Rattus norvegicus: one gene and its partners. The protein of the gene in region 2 purifies or fractionates together with the protein of the main gene of each other region. This does not show direct contact. Links are inferred from orthologs where the notes say so. Each region holds a gene or a part of one and is shown on either strand. Other genes may lie near its edges.

The links.
Region 1: the proteins of Cuedc1 (region 2) and Smurf2 purify together in Homo sapiens (co-immunoprecipitation; 3 studies listed by BioGRID and IntAct, with this or other methods). This does not show direct contact. The link is inferred for Rattus norvegicus from reciprocal best matches to the Homo sapiens genes CUEDC1 and SMURF2.
Region 3: the proteins of Cuedc1 (region 2) and Tom1 purify together in Homo sapiens (co-immunoprecipitation; 3 studies listed by BioGRID and IntAct, with this or other methods). This does not show direct contact. The link is inferred for Rattus norvegicus from reciprocal best matches to the Homo sapiens genes CUEDC1 and TOM1.

What each region holds. Positions count from the first base shown.
Region 1 is NC_086028.1:92,263,744-92,268,691, reverse strand, and holds part of Smurf2 (E3 ubiquitin-protein ligase SMURF2), read left to right. Parts: intron 1-2,558; coding exon 2,559-2,760; intron 2,761-4,130; coding exon 4,131-4,206; intron 4,207-4,454; coding exon 4,455-4,554; 3' UTR 4,555-4,948. UniProt on the Homo sapiens protein: E3 ubiquitin-protein ligase which accepts ubiquitin from an E2 ubiquitin-conjugating enzyme in the form of a thioester and then directly transfers the ubiquitin to targeted substrates.
Region 2 is NC_086028.1:73,465,460-73,470,525, forward strand, and holds part of Cuedc1 (CUE domain-containing protein 1), read left to right. Parts: intron 1-3,780; coding exon 3,781-3,908; intron 3,909-5,066.
Region 3 is NC_086037.1:13,409,311-13,415,076, forward strand, and holds the start of Tom1 (target of Myb1 membrane trafficking protein), read left to right. Parts: upstream 1-1,933; 5' UTR 1,934-2,004; coding exon 2,005-2,056; exon of another isoform or gene 2,057-5,265; intron 5,266-5,766.

The DNA of each region.
Region 1 (4,948 bases), about 19 Mb from region 2:
CAGCTACAGTGTACTCTCATATACATAAAATAAATAATTAATTTAAAAAATTTTTTCAAAAAAAAAAAACAACAAAAAAAAAATAATAAAAAATTTTTTCAGGTTGGGGATTTAGCTCAGTGGTAGAGCACTTGCCTAGCAAGCGCAAGGCCCTGGGTTTGGTCTCCAGCTCCGAAAAAAGAAAAGGAAAATAAATAAATAAATTAATTAATTAATTAATTAATTAAAATAAAATAAAATAAAAATTTTTTTCTGTAGTAGTATTCTGGCTTTTTCTTGCTTGTCTTTTTCTAAATCTATTTTTATTATTTTTTAATTATGTATAATTGCATGTGTCTGCATGTGGGTATGTGTACATGAGTACAGGTACTCGGGCAGATTTTAGATCCCTGGACGTGGAGTTAGAGGTGGTTGTAGCCACCTAACATGGTAAACTGAGTTCCTTGGAAGAGCAGGAAGTGCTCTTAACCACTGAGCCACCCATCTTTCCAGGCTTGCTGCTGGTCTCTTTAATAGATGTTTACAAACAATCAGTTGACTCAGTACTGTCCCTGCTCCTTTAGTGACTGAGTAATGAGCTGGCCAAGGCAGGTCAGGAGGAGGAGGAACGTAGAGCAAGGTGGCTAGAGTGAGTGGATCTGAGACAGGACCTTCTCCCCTGCTTATGTTGTCAATTAGAGCTTGTGCTGTAACAGCCACTCCTCTGACGGACAGAATTTAGAAGGCATCCTTAATGGTCTGAATTCATTATTTCAGACATACTGTCTTAGTTAGGGTTCTCATTGCCATGAAGAGATACCATGACCAAGGCAACTCTTATAAAGACAGCATTTAATTGGGGATGGCTTACATGTTCAGTCTGTTATCATCATGCTGGGAAGCATGGCAGTGTCCAGGCAGGCATGATGCCGGAGGAGCTGAGAGTTCTACACCTTCACCCAGAGAAAGCCAGGAGCAGACTGACCCTTCTGCACTGGGTAGAGCTTCAAAGCCCACCCCCACAATGACATACTTCCTTCAACAAGGCCACACCTCCTAACAGCACCACTCCCCCTGTGTGCCACATATACTCAAACCACCTTTTTGGGAGGTAAACTTTATTTGGTAAGGGTAAGACTTACATTGTAGTTTTATCACTGTTGAAATCTTTAGAACATAGGTCATGCTACCTTATCAAAACTAAGTATATGAAACCTAGGCCATACAAGTTACATTATGGGTTTCACTGTCATAATTCACTGATAATCACTTGATGGGCAGTCCATCCAGATGATTTAGCAGGTGAGGGCACATGCCAACCAACCTGACAACGGAGTTCAATCCCAGGCCTAGACGGTAGAAGGAAAATGACTCCTGACTGTTGTCCTCTGAATTCCACCCGTGTACTGTGGTGTGTGCTCATGTGCACATACATATATGCACATAAATGAATAGAGCAAACATGTTAGATATATACACATACCTCGCTCAGTAATGGACTCTGTAGAGATAAGTTCCTGTTATCAAACTGACCTTGGTGTAGTTCTTATGTATTGATTGTATCAGGATGTCAGTTGGAACACTATACAGCAGAATTTGTGTATTTTGTTTAATTTTTATTTATTTTATCTTTCAAGACAAAGGTTTCTCTATGTAGCATTGGCTGTTCTGGAACTCACTTTGTAGACCATGTCGACCTCCTACTCAACAGATCTGCCTCTGCCTCTGCCTCCTGAATGCTGGGTTTAAAAGCGTGTGCCCAAGGCCTGGCCCTTGAGTATCTACATTTTAATATAATTTCAAAGTTGTTAAGTAAATTATATTATGGACCCAACATGTCTCTTGCTGTACACTCTGGATCATTTCATAGGTAAAATGAGGTAGTGGTGACTGTGATCTTAGAGCAAAGAACACTGCAGGCTGGTGACAGAAGTGCCTCAGACTGCAAAGCTGGCAGTGTCAGAGCTGATGTAAACCAGTGCAGGCCTAAGAAAGGCCCAGGTAGACCTTAGTGGTAAGAAGAGAAGTCTTCTGTTTGAGACAAGGTAGTAGCTCAGGCTAGCCTCAAACTCATGTTGATCCTCCCGCCTCAGCCTCTGAAGAGCTGGGATTGTAGGCATGGGCTGTTTCACCCAACTGTTTACTGAGTCTTGATTTCTGTCTACTGTTTTAAAATTTTAGAATTCTATTTTGAAGCTGGAAATTTTACAAATCTTTGATCTTGTCAGAGTCCATTACAGTGAACAGGACCTACAATGAGTAGATACTTCTGGAGGTTTAAAGATCCAGACCTTTGCAGAGCGGTGGTGGCACTTGGAAGACAGAGGCAGGCAGGTCTCTGAATTTGAGGCCAACCTGGGCAACAGAGTGAGGTCCAAAAACAAACAAAAAGATTCAGACCTGAGTGCCACAGACAGACAGTTACAGTCCCTGCAGCACAGGGTCTGTTGGGGTTGCTTTGAAAAGCTTTCCAGATAATTCAGCTGTGTATCACTCGTGGGGCTTTGCAAATCTGAGAAGTCTTGGGAGGCCCAGCTTTGATACGCAGCAGCTCACCACTCTGGCAAATATTTCTACAGCTCATTATCTGTGGGCTTGGCAAAATTGACGTGAGCGACTGGAAGGCCAACACCCGGTTAAAGCACTGCACCCCAGACAGCAACGTCGTCAAGTGGTTTTGGAAAGCTGTGGAGCTTTTTGATGAGGAGAGACGAGCACGGCTGCTCCAGTTTGTGACAGGGTCCTCTCGAGTGCCTCTGCAGGGCTTCAAAGCACTCCAAGGTGAGGAGTCCTGGGGTGGGCACACAGGTACCTTGCTTGCACTCTTGCAGGGGTAGGGAAGGATGGGATGGGACGGATCAGTGTTTGGGGTACATTGCTGTTTTTATAGCCAGCCCTGTGCTTATGAAGATCTTTGATTGATAGCTCCTATATGTGACTCCATTGCAGCTCCTTCTGCAGAGGCCTTTCTGACAGACTTCTCTGATCGCAGTGGGTGCGGTGAGCAGTGTAGAGAAAGCCTGTGTGCTGATGCTCTGTTTTGCACTTTCTGGTCAGCTTGCCTTTAACTTTGCAGGGAAGGTCATCTACCTCCATGTTCACGTCTCAGCTTGGCAAACCTTTACCCACCCGAGACGCCTCCTCTGCCTTTCTTCTAACAGGAGGGAGGCAGCATGAATTTTGAAAGCCGACTGATTGGTCAGAGCACTTTATTACATGACTTCAGACTAGTGACTTACAGCCGTCTTCAGTGTTTAGAATTGGTCTGTGGAGTAAACTGTTGGCGTTTTGGTTGAGTTGATAACATTGCTGATGGCTGTGGTGCATCATTCGGTGGCCATTGCTTCCTTCACCTTAAACTCTTGGCTTCGAAGCTGCCGGTGAGGAGGGAGAATCAGCAGTGTAGACTAGTGCAGGATTCCTCAGCAGTTGCCCACAGCATGCTCAGAAAGCCTGGGCAAAGCTACCTAAAGTTTGTGTTCCCTTCCCTGTTTGGGGAACGTGGAGTGGTCTTCCCTTGTGGGGCATGTGTGCGTAGACTGCTAATCTTTGCTAAGCTCAGTTTGAGTCATAAGTGTAAATTTGCATTAGGTTATCATCTTTAAATATGATTCAAATGTGTATTTTAAGCATAATAGCATATGCCTATAATCCTAGCCCTCTGGGAGCTGAGGCAGGAGGATCTTGAGTTTAAGATTCTCTTGAACTACATAGCAAGATGCTATTTCAAACAGTGAGCCAGCACTTAATCCAAGCACTTCAGAGGCAGAGGCCTGGTCTGTGGAGAGAATTCCAGGACAGCCAAGGCTACACAGAAATCCTGTCGCCTGTTTTGGAAAAAGAAAAAAAAAAAAAGCAAACCAAATGTGTTCATATTGTTTTGGGATGCAGATGTTCTGTGGCACCACGCTGACAGAGGCCATCAGTTAAGCTTTTCTCTCAGACAGCAGTGCTGCTGTTACGGCACCTGGTCTGAGCCTACATGTCACTTACAACCTCAAAACCAGGCTACTTTTCCTATAAGCCCCCATGTTAGTGTGTGTGAATGCAAGGTGCTCCCCAGCCCGTGGTTTATGTTCCAGTTTATTCTGAGGCGTTGGAGATGGACTCCTGTACCTGCTGTGATCTGACCCACATTCCTTCACTGGCAGGTGCCGCGGGCCCACGGCTCTTTACCATACACCAGATTGATGCCTGCACGAACAACCTGCCAAAAGCCCACACTTGGTGAGTTATTTTTGTATTCTCCTCTGTCGTTGTAGGTAGATTTTAGTTTAAAAGAAATGATGAACACTTCCTTGAAGTGATTTAAAAAGTTATTCAGAAATCAGTAGGCACTCCCCAGCGTGGTGATCTCTGCGTTAGAGGACAGCAGCTTCTACCTTTCCGTCTGAGACAAAGGCCGTGTTATGCTCACGTGCTGCACCTGCTGACTTGCTCTGAGAAATGATCAAGTCTGATTTGCTTCTTCACAGTTTCAATCGAATAGACATTCCGCCCTATGAGAGCTATGAGAAGCTCTACGAAAAGCTGCTAACAGCCATCGAGGAGACCTGTGGCTTTGCTGTGGAGTGATGAGCGCCGAGGACTCACCCACAGCTCTTACTGACCCCTGGCCAACAGCCTCCTTCAGCAGCGCTTCAGAGAACGCTGGAGTACAGGACAACAGCCCCTCCCCTGCTCCTTAGATTCTAGGACACTGTGAGGGGAAGGGACAATTTTGAAATTCCTTTTCAAGGAAAAATAAAGGTCTTTATGCTTTGCCATGAGGACACACTCAGCTGCTATTTAAAAATTAATACCTTGAACCTAAAGAATGCTGACCCCTGCATCTCCAGAGTTAGGCAGTATTCTACACTTAAAAGACTACTACTATTTTTATACAAGGTTATCTATCCAAACTGCTTCTCAGACTCGCGTCTCTCACACTCAAGACAGCTCCCCAGTCGGTACAAGCCACATTTCAGTT
Region 2 (5,066 bases):
CTGTTTTCACACACACCAGAAGAGGGCATCGGATCTCATTACAGATGGTTGTGAGCCACCATGTGGTTGCTGGGATTTGAACTCAGGACCTCTGGAAGAGCAGTCGGTGCTCTTAACCACTGAGCCATCTCTCCAGCCCCCCAGCCCTCTTTTTACATAGGGTTTGCCTATGTGTGTGTTGGGGAGCATAGAGACTTATGTTTTCTCTGTAGCTCAGGCAGACCCTGAACTTTCCATCCCCCTGCCTCTCAGGTATCTGGGATGACAAGTAAGCTACACCAGAATTCCACTCTCTCCAGAGTCCAGCCTGTGCTGGGCATCTCCACTGCTTCAGAAATGCATCTTTTCTGTTTCTCAAACTCGATGAGAGCAGTCAGTTACCCTTGTTAATGTGAGAACTCTGGACCAGATTTGACTGCAGAGACTAGTCTCTTTGGTCCTCCTACCCGCCCCTCCTTCCCTTAGTGAGTGCTTCTAGGATTCTCTCTTCATGGAGCAGCTGTGTGGGCAATGATGACTTGTGCCAGCGTGGTGTTCTCTCCCCAAGCACATAGCAGTACAGGGGAATGTTTGCGTCGAGATGTTACTAGTGTTTGTGTGTAAGCCGGAGACCAGTTTAGAGTGTTGTTTCTCAAGAGTCAGCTACCTTGTTTTGGGGGATAGAATTCCTCTCCCTCTGGACGGGCATCCCTAGTGGGGGCCACAAACTTTATAGGGTGCTGTGCATTGAACCCAAGACCTCAAACGTGTGTTGCAAGCACCAACTGAGCCATCTCCCCAGCCCTGTTCACAATGTCTCTGCACAACTTTCTCTCACGTTTTCCTCTGTCAAACATCCCTTTGGCCTGCCTGCATTAGTCAGTGAAGAGAACACTGGGAAATCCAAATGCTTCTCGTTGAAAGGAGGTGTGAGTTCATGTGCCTGTGTGCATGTGTAGATGCATTCTTTCAGTGTGAGATGGGAAGTCCTCCGCATGCTTTGACTCTCTATGATCCTGTTGGTCCTGACAATCTTGGAGGCGGGGTCTTTCCTGCTTTGCCCACAGTGCCCGTGGCACCACAGACCTCTTCAAAGCTTCCTCAACCCCAGGCCTCCATTCTGTACTGCACTTCTGTTCCCAGGAAGTCTGCTGTCCACACACTGAGCCCCTTCTGGGCCACCCTTGGCTCTCTCCCAGCCTGGAAGCCTGCCTGGACCCATCAGCAGACAGCTCCTGGGCCAGTGCAAAATGCTGCAGAAAATTTATGAGGAACAATAAGAATGACAATAACTGCTGACTGGAAAAAGCCCCGTCTCTAGAGGCTGACGGATGGTGGGCTGGCTCAAGGGGTATCCTTGTCACAGAGAAAAGGCTCCTATCAGATAAATGGCCCAGAGGCTGCCTCCCTCCCAGCCTCGGGAACACCTGGCTGGCACCCATCACCCAGTGATTTAGGCTGGGGGACCACAGAACCTTTAGAGCCAGAAAAGTTCCTTGTGGCTAGAAATATAGGGGGTGGGCAGAAAGATGCTGGGGTTCCATCTCTGGGACTACAGGTTTTCTTTTCTGGAACTGGCCGGCCCACCACGTTCCCGCTTCCACACTATCCAGCATTCCTCTCTGGGGGCTGCGTTTGCTGCTCCAGGAAGCTGCACTGTAGTAAACAGGCTCAGGACCCACCTGCCTCCCTGGGCTCCTTGAGTCTGGAGGCACACCGCAGATCAGAAGAAACCCATGGAACTCCCCTCTCCCTCTCACCAGACCAGGCCTGAACCCTGTCGCTCAGAGCCAAGAGCTGTCAGAAACGGGGTTGTGTAGGCTAGAGGAGGCAGCAGCCAGCCTTCTGGGTACCCTAGGATCTTGCTGAGCTCCTTCTGTGCTAAGCAATGGGGTGTCACCATACACCAGGAGCCCATTCCTCATACCATCCCCCACCCTGCATCCCTCTCCTTCCTGGTGGAATGTGGGGTGAGCAATGCAGCGTCCCGGGCCGGCCAGGCGGCCTCATTCTTCTTCTGCAGAAGCATCTGTTTAAATACTTTCCGCCTCACAGGAAAGAACACGCATTCCAGGGCGGGAGCCTTCTTGGGTCAGGCTGTCGTGCAGAGCGCTGCAGTGTGTGTGCTTGATCCCTGCCAGGGAGTCCCTGCCAGCCTGCCTCCCCGTCCGTCCTAGGCGCAGCTGGGATAGGGGTCAGATATATCCATGGAACCTGACCTGGCAGAAGCAGAGACACAACTTTAGGGGTGTCTTCTACAAACCCAGGGTTTAAGTGGGTCTGGGGGCTTAGGGGCTGAGTCAGTTAGGACCTCTGAGCCCTTCCCAGGTTCTTTGGTCTCTGAGGAAGTAGGAACAGAGCTGTAGGGGTGGGGTGGGTTGAGGTGTGTGACAGAGAGCTGCCCAGATGCCTCTGGGGAGCAGATTCATATCCACTGAATCACAGGGACTTGGCTTCACCCTATCCTCGGCCTTCCCCTGCCCTGCTCTTTCAGTGAAGAGGAAAGGGTCCAGAGGGACTGTAGGCAACGGGGCTGTTCACCCTGAGCATCTTACTTAGGTGTGCAGGCTGCCTGAGGGAAGGCCGAGACTGTGAACCCCATGGTTCATGTTGAAGGTTCCAACCTAGAGCCAGTCAGTGGTGTTGGCCCAGACCTCAGCCTCACAGGCCTGTAATCTGAGTCTCAGCAGGCAGGGCAGGAGCATCAGAAGTGGCCTGACCTGTGCTCCTTTGAGCTGTGACATGGCCGTTACCACCTTAGTCAGAGCAGCTCTGACTTCTGACACCAGCTCTTCAGCAAGCTTGGGCCTGTTCCCTCATGGAAGGCAGGGAGGGGCATTAGAGGGTCACCTGTGATTTTAGCCCTGCCCTCTCTCCTACAGTCATCTCCCCTCTGTCTGCGCTTTTGCTCTGGCCGCAGATGAATTTGGGAGATGCTGGAGTATTCAAGAAGGTGGCTAACTCAGGGGCTCTACAGAGCTTTCAAGAGGTTGTCAGCCATGCTGGACTGGGCTGGGCCTTTGGTATACAACTGTTGGAGGAGGGCACTCTCTCTTCTTCACATCTTCCCAAGGGAAGTAATGAGACAGGTTCAAGGCCAGCCAGGGCAACTTAGTGAAACCCTATTTCGGAATAAAAGTAAAAAGAACTGGCCCACACCTCAGTGGTAGAGTTCTTGCCTCATGTGTGTGAGACCCTGTGTTCAATTCCAGGTACCACAGAACAAATAAAACACACCCGGGCCTTAATTTTCTCATCCGTAAAATGGACCTTAACTTGCCAGACTGGGGTTAAGATAAGAGATGTGGAAGTTCGACGAAGGAAGGGTATGGATGATGTCATCATCAGAGATGAGTACAGAGGACATGGGTCTCAAGTGTGCAGTCCAGTGGGGTTTCATGGCACGTACATACCCCGTGATAGGCACCCAGATCCATAAGCCTCTTCCACAGGCAGCCCCAGAGTCGCTAGCACCTCCTCCCATCCTCGCCAACCGTCACTGTCTCTCTCTTCCACCCTGTGTTTGTTTTGCTGCTCTTGAGCATTGCTTGGACAGATGCTGCTGCCATGAACCATTCTTCGAGGCAGTGCATTGTCCTGTTTGTTAAGTATAATTGAGGGGTCATGGTAGCCACATGTTAGTGTCAATACACGAGCTCCCAGCAGCAATGCACAAAACTCCTTCGGACACATCCTCACCTATACTTGGTTTCATCCGAATGCCACTGAGGTTCAAGGATGGATTATTAATCTCCTAATCAATAATTGTGACTATGTTTTTCTTTGTTGTCTCTGACTCAGATCTTGGAAAGGACTCTGGAGCCCGATAGCTCTGAGGAAGAGCCCCCGCCTGTGTATTCGCCGCCAGCATACCACATGCACGTGTTCGACCGGCCTTACCTGACTGCTCCTCCAACTCCACCTCCCCGGTTAGAGTCCATTTTTGTCTCAGAGCACGGTGGGTAGAGATGGAGACAGGGGTCGGATTGTATAAACCACAGTGGGAAATTGGCCGCCCCCCAGCAGACATTATTCTACTAGCTGTAAACTTGTACGGTGGCAAGGGACATTTTCACAGGACACCTCTGGGAGAACTTTCACCACTTCAACACTGTGGAACAGGGGAAGTGGCTCTCAGTCGGCAGGGTGCTCGTTGTACAAGCAAGGGGGCTTGGGCTTGAACTCTTAGTCCTCTACATATAAAAGCTGAGCACGGCAGCCCACGTCTGTAACACCAATAGCTGGCATTGCAGAGACGGGCAGGTCCCTGAAGCTAGCTGATTTAGCCAGTCGGTAAGTTCCAGGTTCAGTGCAAAACGATCCGAAAAATAAAGTGGAAACTAGAGAAATGGCTGCTCCTAAAGTGCCTGCAGAGAAAATACAAGGACCCAAGTTTGGAACCCATGTAAAAAAGTCAGCCATAACAGCATATGCCTATGGGATACAGTTAATTAAATATGGTACAGCCTCCAGGTTCTTGGAATGTGTAATCAAGGGTAGGAAATATTGTACTGACCCTTCCCTTCCCTAGCACATGGGCACGTTAGTAATTAATCATTGTGCTGTCTCCTGCTGAGGCAAGATGAAACCTCAGAATGCCTCCCAACCCAGAACCCCCAGGTAGCCATCAGTCACCAGTGGGATGACTGTCACCCCTGAGCTAGTGCTGTTGAGAGGATTTTTAAGCAATGTGAAGATGTGTCGTTTTCTGGGCTAGTTTGATGACTGGAGACAGGAGAGTGGACAGCGAGGACCCCAGAGACTTGTCTCAGCTTTGAGACTCTTGTTATTTGGAAACTTAAAATGAAGCCGGCGCCAATGGCGTCTGTTGTATGTGAATTGCTTGCTTTCTGGGCTCTGTGTTTGTCTGATGCTAGAGCCGAGGTGTGGTTGCTTTGGCCTGGAGCTGCTGTTTCTTAGAATGACAGACTGGGTGAGAGGAGATGATACAAGGGGGGACTGCTATAGTGACCCCCAATTCTATACATCTTAGGAGCCCCAGAACACTGATAGTGGGGAACTTGGAGAGCCAGGAAGAACAGCTACCATTTGCCAAACACCCTTCAAACACCAGAGGCGGCCACAGT
Region 3 (5,766 bases), on a different chromosome or scaffold from region 2:
AGTCTTAGCTGTCTTTTCCCTAATTGGGCTAGTCATAGTTGCTATAAAATTGTAAAACCTGTCATTCACTCTACTCTACCCTAGCATTTCTCTAAAAGGGCGGGGGGTGGGGGGGTTGAAGAGATGGTTCATTGGTTATGACTATTTCCTGCTCTTGGAAAGGACCCAAGTTAGATCCCAGCATTCATTCAACCGAATGTAAGTCCAGTCCCAGAGGATCAGTCACCCTCTGTGGCCTCCTTAGGCACAGGCACACAAGTGCATACACCCACACAGAGGTACACACCAAACATAATTAAAATTTTAAAGTTTTTAAACCAAAACCTGAAATAAAGGCCAAGTTACCACATTCCTATCGATCCTGAGCCATGCAGCCCTGTGTCTCAGGTTGAACACACCTTATATGTAAAGGCTCTCAAATATCACTTTCTTATATTATAAAAGGAGAGAATCGGATAAGTGTGGCTCTAGTGCTTGGCAGATGAAACCATATACAATATGTTATTGGCCTACATCAAGAAGTATCCATCAATCTTTGTCAGGGTTGCATGAAAATCCTATGCTAAAAAGTAGTTCATATCCCAGGATCTTTCCAGAGTCTTGTCTATTTAAAAAAAAATGGGGATGTGATGTCACCTCCTTGTCTCTGAGTCTACAGCCATGTGGCCTGACGTGAATGTGTGCTAATACTATAAACACTGAAATATGGAAATTTGGCCTTTCATGGCTAAGGAAAAAGTTAATGGAAATACAAGATGTTAAAAATCATAAGTAGCAAAACACGAATAATAATTAAAGGCTGCATGTTGTAATGTACATACACCTTTAATTCCAACACCCCTGAGATCTGAGTTTGAAACCAGCCTTGGGAGACTGTGTCCAAAAAAACGGGATGCAGAGCATTGGCTTTTAATGTGACAAGGTCCTAGGATGAGCCCCAGCCCTGCCAAGAATGGAAGAGAGGAAGTGAGATGTCCCACGGTACTTGTTTAATCTCAAGAGATTAAATGTGAAAGAATCAATTCCTCGTAAGTTTCGATCTGACACATACAGGATTTTTAAAAATTACAAATTTAAAACATAATGCCTGGCACTGGAGAGGTGGCTCAGAGGATAAGAGCAATGACTGCTCTTCCAGAGGTCCTGAGTTCAATTTCCAGCAACCACCTGGTGGCTCACAACCATCTGTGATGGGCCAGTGCCCTCTTCTGGTGTGTCTGAAGACAGCAACAGTGCGTACTCATACATAAATAAATAAATCTAAAAAAAATTAAAAACATAATACAAAGATACAGCAAGGAAGAAGCAACCATCGCGGAATGCCTGTTGAGTGATTTTCATGTCATCTCAATACTCTGAAAGCATTACATTATGGATATTGGTCGTCCCACCACCACCTTTACAGATGAGGGGAACAGGTAAAGAAAAAGCACTTTTCTGGTTTCCCAAGAGCCAAGGTGGATGAGGTGGCTTACCAGGTAAAGGAACTTGCCACAGTATGTTCAGTTCATTCTCTGTCTCAAAGGAGCACAAACCCAGGTCCTTGCCTCCTCTTTGGCCACAAACGAGTGGCTCCTGGAGCAGGGAGACATCAAATAGAAATTTCGAGTCCGACTTGGACAGGAGGCTATCGTCCTTAGGGCTTGGTCCCCAAGACTAAAGGCTAAGATGCTAATATTTTCGTTATCTTGCGTAACCTGACCCAGGTCTTTCCTTGGCCAGAGACCCAGTTTCCGGATGTGAAGACTTCTAGGCTCCACTGCGGCGCACATAGAAGTTTCGGGGGCGTGGCTTAGGAGCCAGCTCTCCCAGGCCCCGCCCTGGTGTGGCGTCAGCCACTGCCGAGGGGCAGCCCGGTAGGGGGCGGGGCTCGTGGCTGCGCCCCAGAGCCCCCGCCTGCCGGCACCTCCCCGCGGGCCGGCCAGCGGGTCACGTGACGGGTCGGCGGCGCCGGCGGTTGCTGTCACCTGATTCTGGGAGCTGGTGGCAGTGGTAGCCGCGGCAATGGACTTTCTCCTGGGAAACCCGTTCAGTTCTCCCGTGGGACAGCGGATCGGTGAGTCCCGGGAGCCGCGTGCAGTCCCGCCCCTGTGTGCCGCTCTGGCCTCGACCCTGGGACCTGTCGGAGTCCACAGTCAGGGCTGGGAGGAGGGAGGCTAGGCTGCGAGGCTGGCGCGGCGCTCTGGGCTCCGCCTACCCTATGACTCCCACCTGATTGACAAGAGCACAGGCCAATCGGAATTCTTATATGGGGATTGATGCTTGATGTAACCAATAGGCAGGAGAAGGAGACAGTTCTGGGCGGATGTGGCTCAGCCAATGTGTGCGTGCTGGGGTCCAGAGTAGAGGGAGAAAGTTTGGGTTAAAGGGACTGCTGTGGTGAGAAGGCGTTGGGCCGCGCCACCGCTGGGCGCGCGCAGGCTTAGAGCCTCTCCCGGGCTGGCGGCGCCTGGGTCATTCGCCGCGTCACCCGCCGCTCACATTCCGAGACGCCGGGGTATCTAGGTTCGGCCGCGCCTCTGTCCCCATGGTCGGGAGACTCGGGTTTATGTGACGTCGCCTCCTTGATGGTCCTCGCCCATAGTTTAAGGATCATGGCATGGCCTTGCTGGACTTCTTTGATCATTAAATGCATTAATAAGCGCGAGGCATTGAGGATGTTTCCTGGCACATGGCTAACGCCTGTCATTGTCAACGAGGTACCGCCTACTGAAGCTGGAGCCCATGGGAAGATGCCGGCGCCCAGCATCTACTCTCGGGCGAAGGCCAGCTGGCGACATTTACCCAGGAATGGGTGGTCTGGGCGTGACACACATCCCCTTTATCTGACCGCATTGTGAAATTATTTTTGATGTTTTTTTTTCGCCGTTGGTCCAGCCTGGGAAGGCTGGATCTGAAAGCCAAGGCTTCCCCGAAGTCGTTAGTCCAGCTGTGTTGTAACCACCACTGCAGCTGTTAGTGGCTCTTTTGAGGTTCTCATCAGTTCTCTGCAGGGAACTCTGGCGCCTGGAGCCCAGGTGCTTCACAAAAACCCCACCATAAATCGTTGTTTGAGACCCGGAAAGAGAAGGCAGCCCTCTTCTCAGATGTCTTATGTAAAGACAAAGGCAAATTAGTCTGGCCTTCAAAGCCAGCCTGAAAGTCCAGAGACCTGGATAAGCTCATTTGGGTTTAAGATGCCGTTCAGTTCAAAGCTCAGCATCTCTTCCTGCCCTGAAAGTTTGCCTGCCTCGGGCAAAAAATACTCCTGGATAAGAGTGCTGCTACATCAGTACCTTGGAGCGCTGATTAAATCTCACTGCTGGACCCTCTCTGCCTTGGGGTTCATGTCAGAATAGGTTGGACCGATCCAAGACTCAGATGGGCAGGTGTAGGGTTCCCAGTCATGTTCTTTGCAGTTGGCTGGGAGAGCACACGTTTCGAAACCTCCCACCAGAAGCGGTGGCTCACATCTGTAATCCTACACCCAGGAGACTAAGACAGGAGGATTGCCACAAAGTCCCAGGCTAACTGGACTCTGAAATTCATTGCAGGGCAGCATAAGCTGCAGTGTAAGACCCTGTTTCAAACAAAACACCAGTCCATTCTGTCCCGTGGCCCTTCCCTTTACTGAGAGGAAGAGATCAAGTTCTACAGAAGGAAGGGGGTGAAGACTGAGGAACCCCCAAAATCCAGTGCAGTGCGATGAGATGGCAAAGCTGTAAAAGAGCCAGGGGTGGTGGAACAGCACTTAGGAGGCTGAAACAGGAAGATTTTGAGTTCAAGTCCAGCCTGGGCTACAGAGAGAGACCCTACCTTGAAGAACAACAGCAGTGTTCCATACTCTTCCGTGTGTCAAGATAGAAGCACTGGAGGTTGAGCCTGCGTTGGTTTTTTTGAGACAGGGTCTCTCAGTGTTGACCAGGTTGGTCAGGAGCTTCAGGCCTTAAGCAGTCCTCCCCCATCAGCTTCCAAGTGGCGAAGACCTGACTGGCTGTGATGATTGGTGGCCAGGTTTTAGCTGCTTGTATTCTTTATAGCCCAGGCCCCTCTTTGCTGCAGGAGTAAAGTGGTATCTTCTCAGGTCTGCTGACCTCCTGCCCTAAGAGTGGAGTGTTATAGGATTAACATCCTAGGGGATAGCAGTCGTTCAGTGGTGCTAATCAGGGCCCAGTGTCACTGGCCTCACAATTCACATACACCTTGACACTTGGCTGGTCTCACTGGAAATTTCTGCTGCTGTGAGGAGCTGGGCTCATGCCCGGAAGCACTGGGCACCACCTCCTCCCTGAGGCCGTGTCCCATCTCCTGACCCAATCTCTGCTCTTGTGTTCTGTCCTCAGTCTGCGTCCTGTAGGCACAAAACAGCTCTCACCTCAAGGGAAATCAGAGATACTTCATTCTATCCCCGGACCAAATATGAATTGCCATGACCCAAGAATACAGATTCGCATCACCCCAAATAACGTGGTCCAATGTGGAAATGGTTTCATGATATTTTTTGTAGTTGCAGAGAACAAAAGCAAGCCATAAACCAGACACTCAGGCTACAGCAAAGCATGAAAATCTAGGCTCCATGTCTCAGGTGCTAGCTGATGACATTACTAAGTTTGGGTTGGTAGACACTAGTTTTCTATTAACTTATTCCAAAAGGCGTTACCTGGTAGTCACAGAAATGTTAGGTCAGACACAAGATAAGCAATAAGTGGTTACTAAGGGTCTAAAGCAAGGTAATTTGTCTCAAGATCTGCAGCATTCCAACTCTCCGCCATCACAAAGTTGTAGTCAACCTTCTAACATCTTTAACCCAGGTGTAGCTTTCGTGGGAACTTTAGTTTGTAAACTTGAACGCTCTTGCCTGAGAGAGGTTATAAGGAAGCCAGTCTTTCAGAGTGCCTGTGCAGTGAGAGGGTATGGGAAACAGCTCCCGCCACCTCGTGTTCTTGTTCCACCTCCATCACACTGATGTATCACTGTCCCTGAAAGGCTGTCCCCAGCCTGGCATGAGTTGAGAGCAGGAGCTCTCCTTTTCTTTCCTGATGCCTCAGCACCTAGAAGGAGGTGACCAGGAAAAAAAGAAAAAAGGAAGGACATGGCTTGGTCTTGAGTATGGTGAAGGAGAAAGTTTATTGTAGATAAAAGGGAAAGCATAGCCAGAAGCAAAGACCTCTGGGAGAATTCAGAGTGAACATGGGTGCCCAGCAGGGAGGGAGCAGAGCCACACCAAGAGGCCTGCAAGGTAAAAGGTACATGAAAAAAGACCAGAGAACCAAAATTATTAGATTGTGTAGGGAAGGGCAGCTGTGGGGAGGGAAGTCTAGGCTAATACCTGGGCTGGAGAAATTTAGGGCAGGGGTTGGAATGTGCAGGACAGGAGGACCTTGCAACCCGCAGGGACTGAGGGATACTGGGAGAACCTGGAGGCCAGGTTCGCTTCGATATGTTAAATAAGCACCTCGGGCGTGTCTGTTGGTCTGGGGTTTGAGCCTTAACTGGTGGGAGAGTAGCCTAACTACTCAGGGTCACAACGTTCTCCCTTGCCTCTGAACACACCAGTCTACTCTGGTCCTAGCTTGAATTTATATCAGCAGGACCCCGCAGGATTAATCTGTGTTATTAATCTACCAAAGATTATAGCATAATGGTGAGTTTTCACCCACCTCCGAGTCACTCTAGAAGAGCCCCACAAGGGCGGCCGCAGCCTGTGGCCCCCAGCGTCCAGTGGCCTATACCAGGTAGTATCCCTTGTCTGCCCCAACTATTGCAGCCCTGTCTCCCCTGCTCATC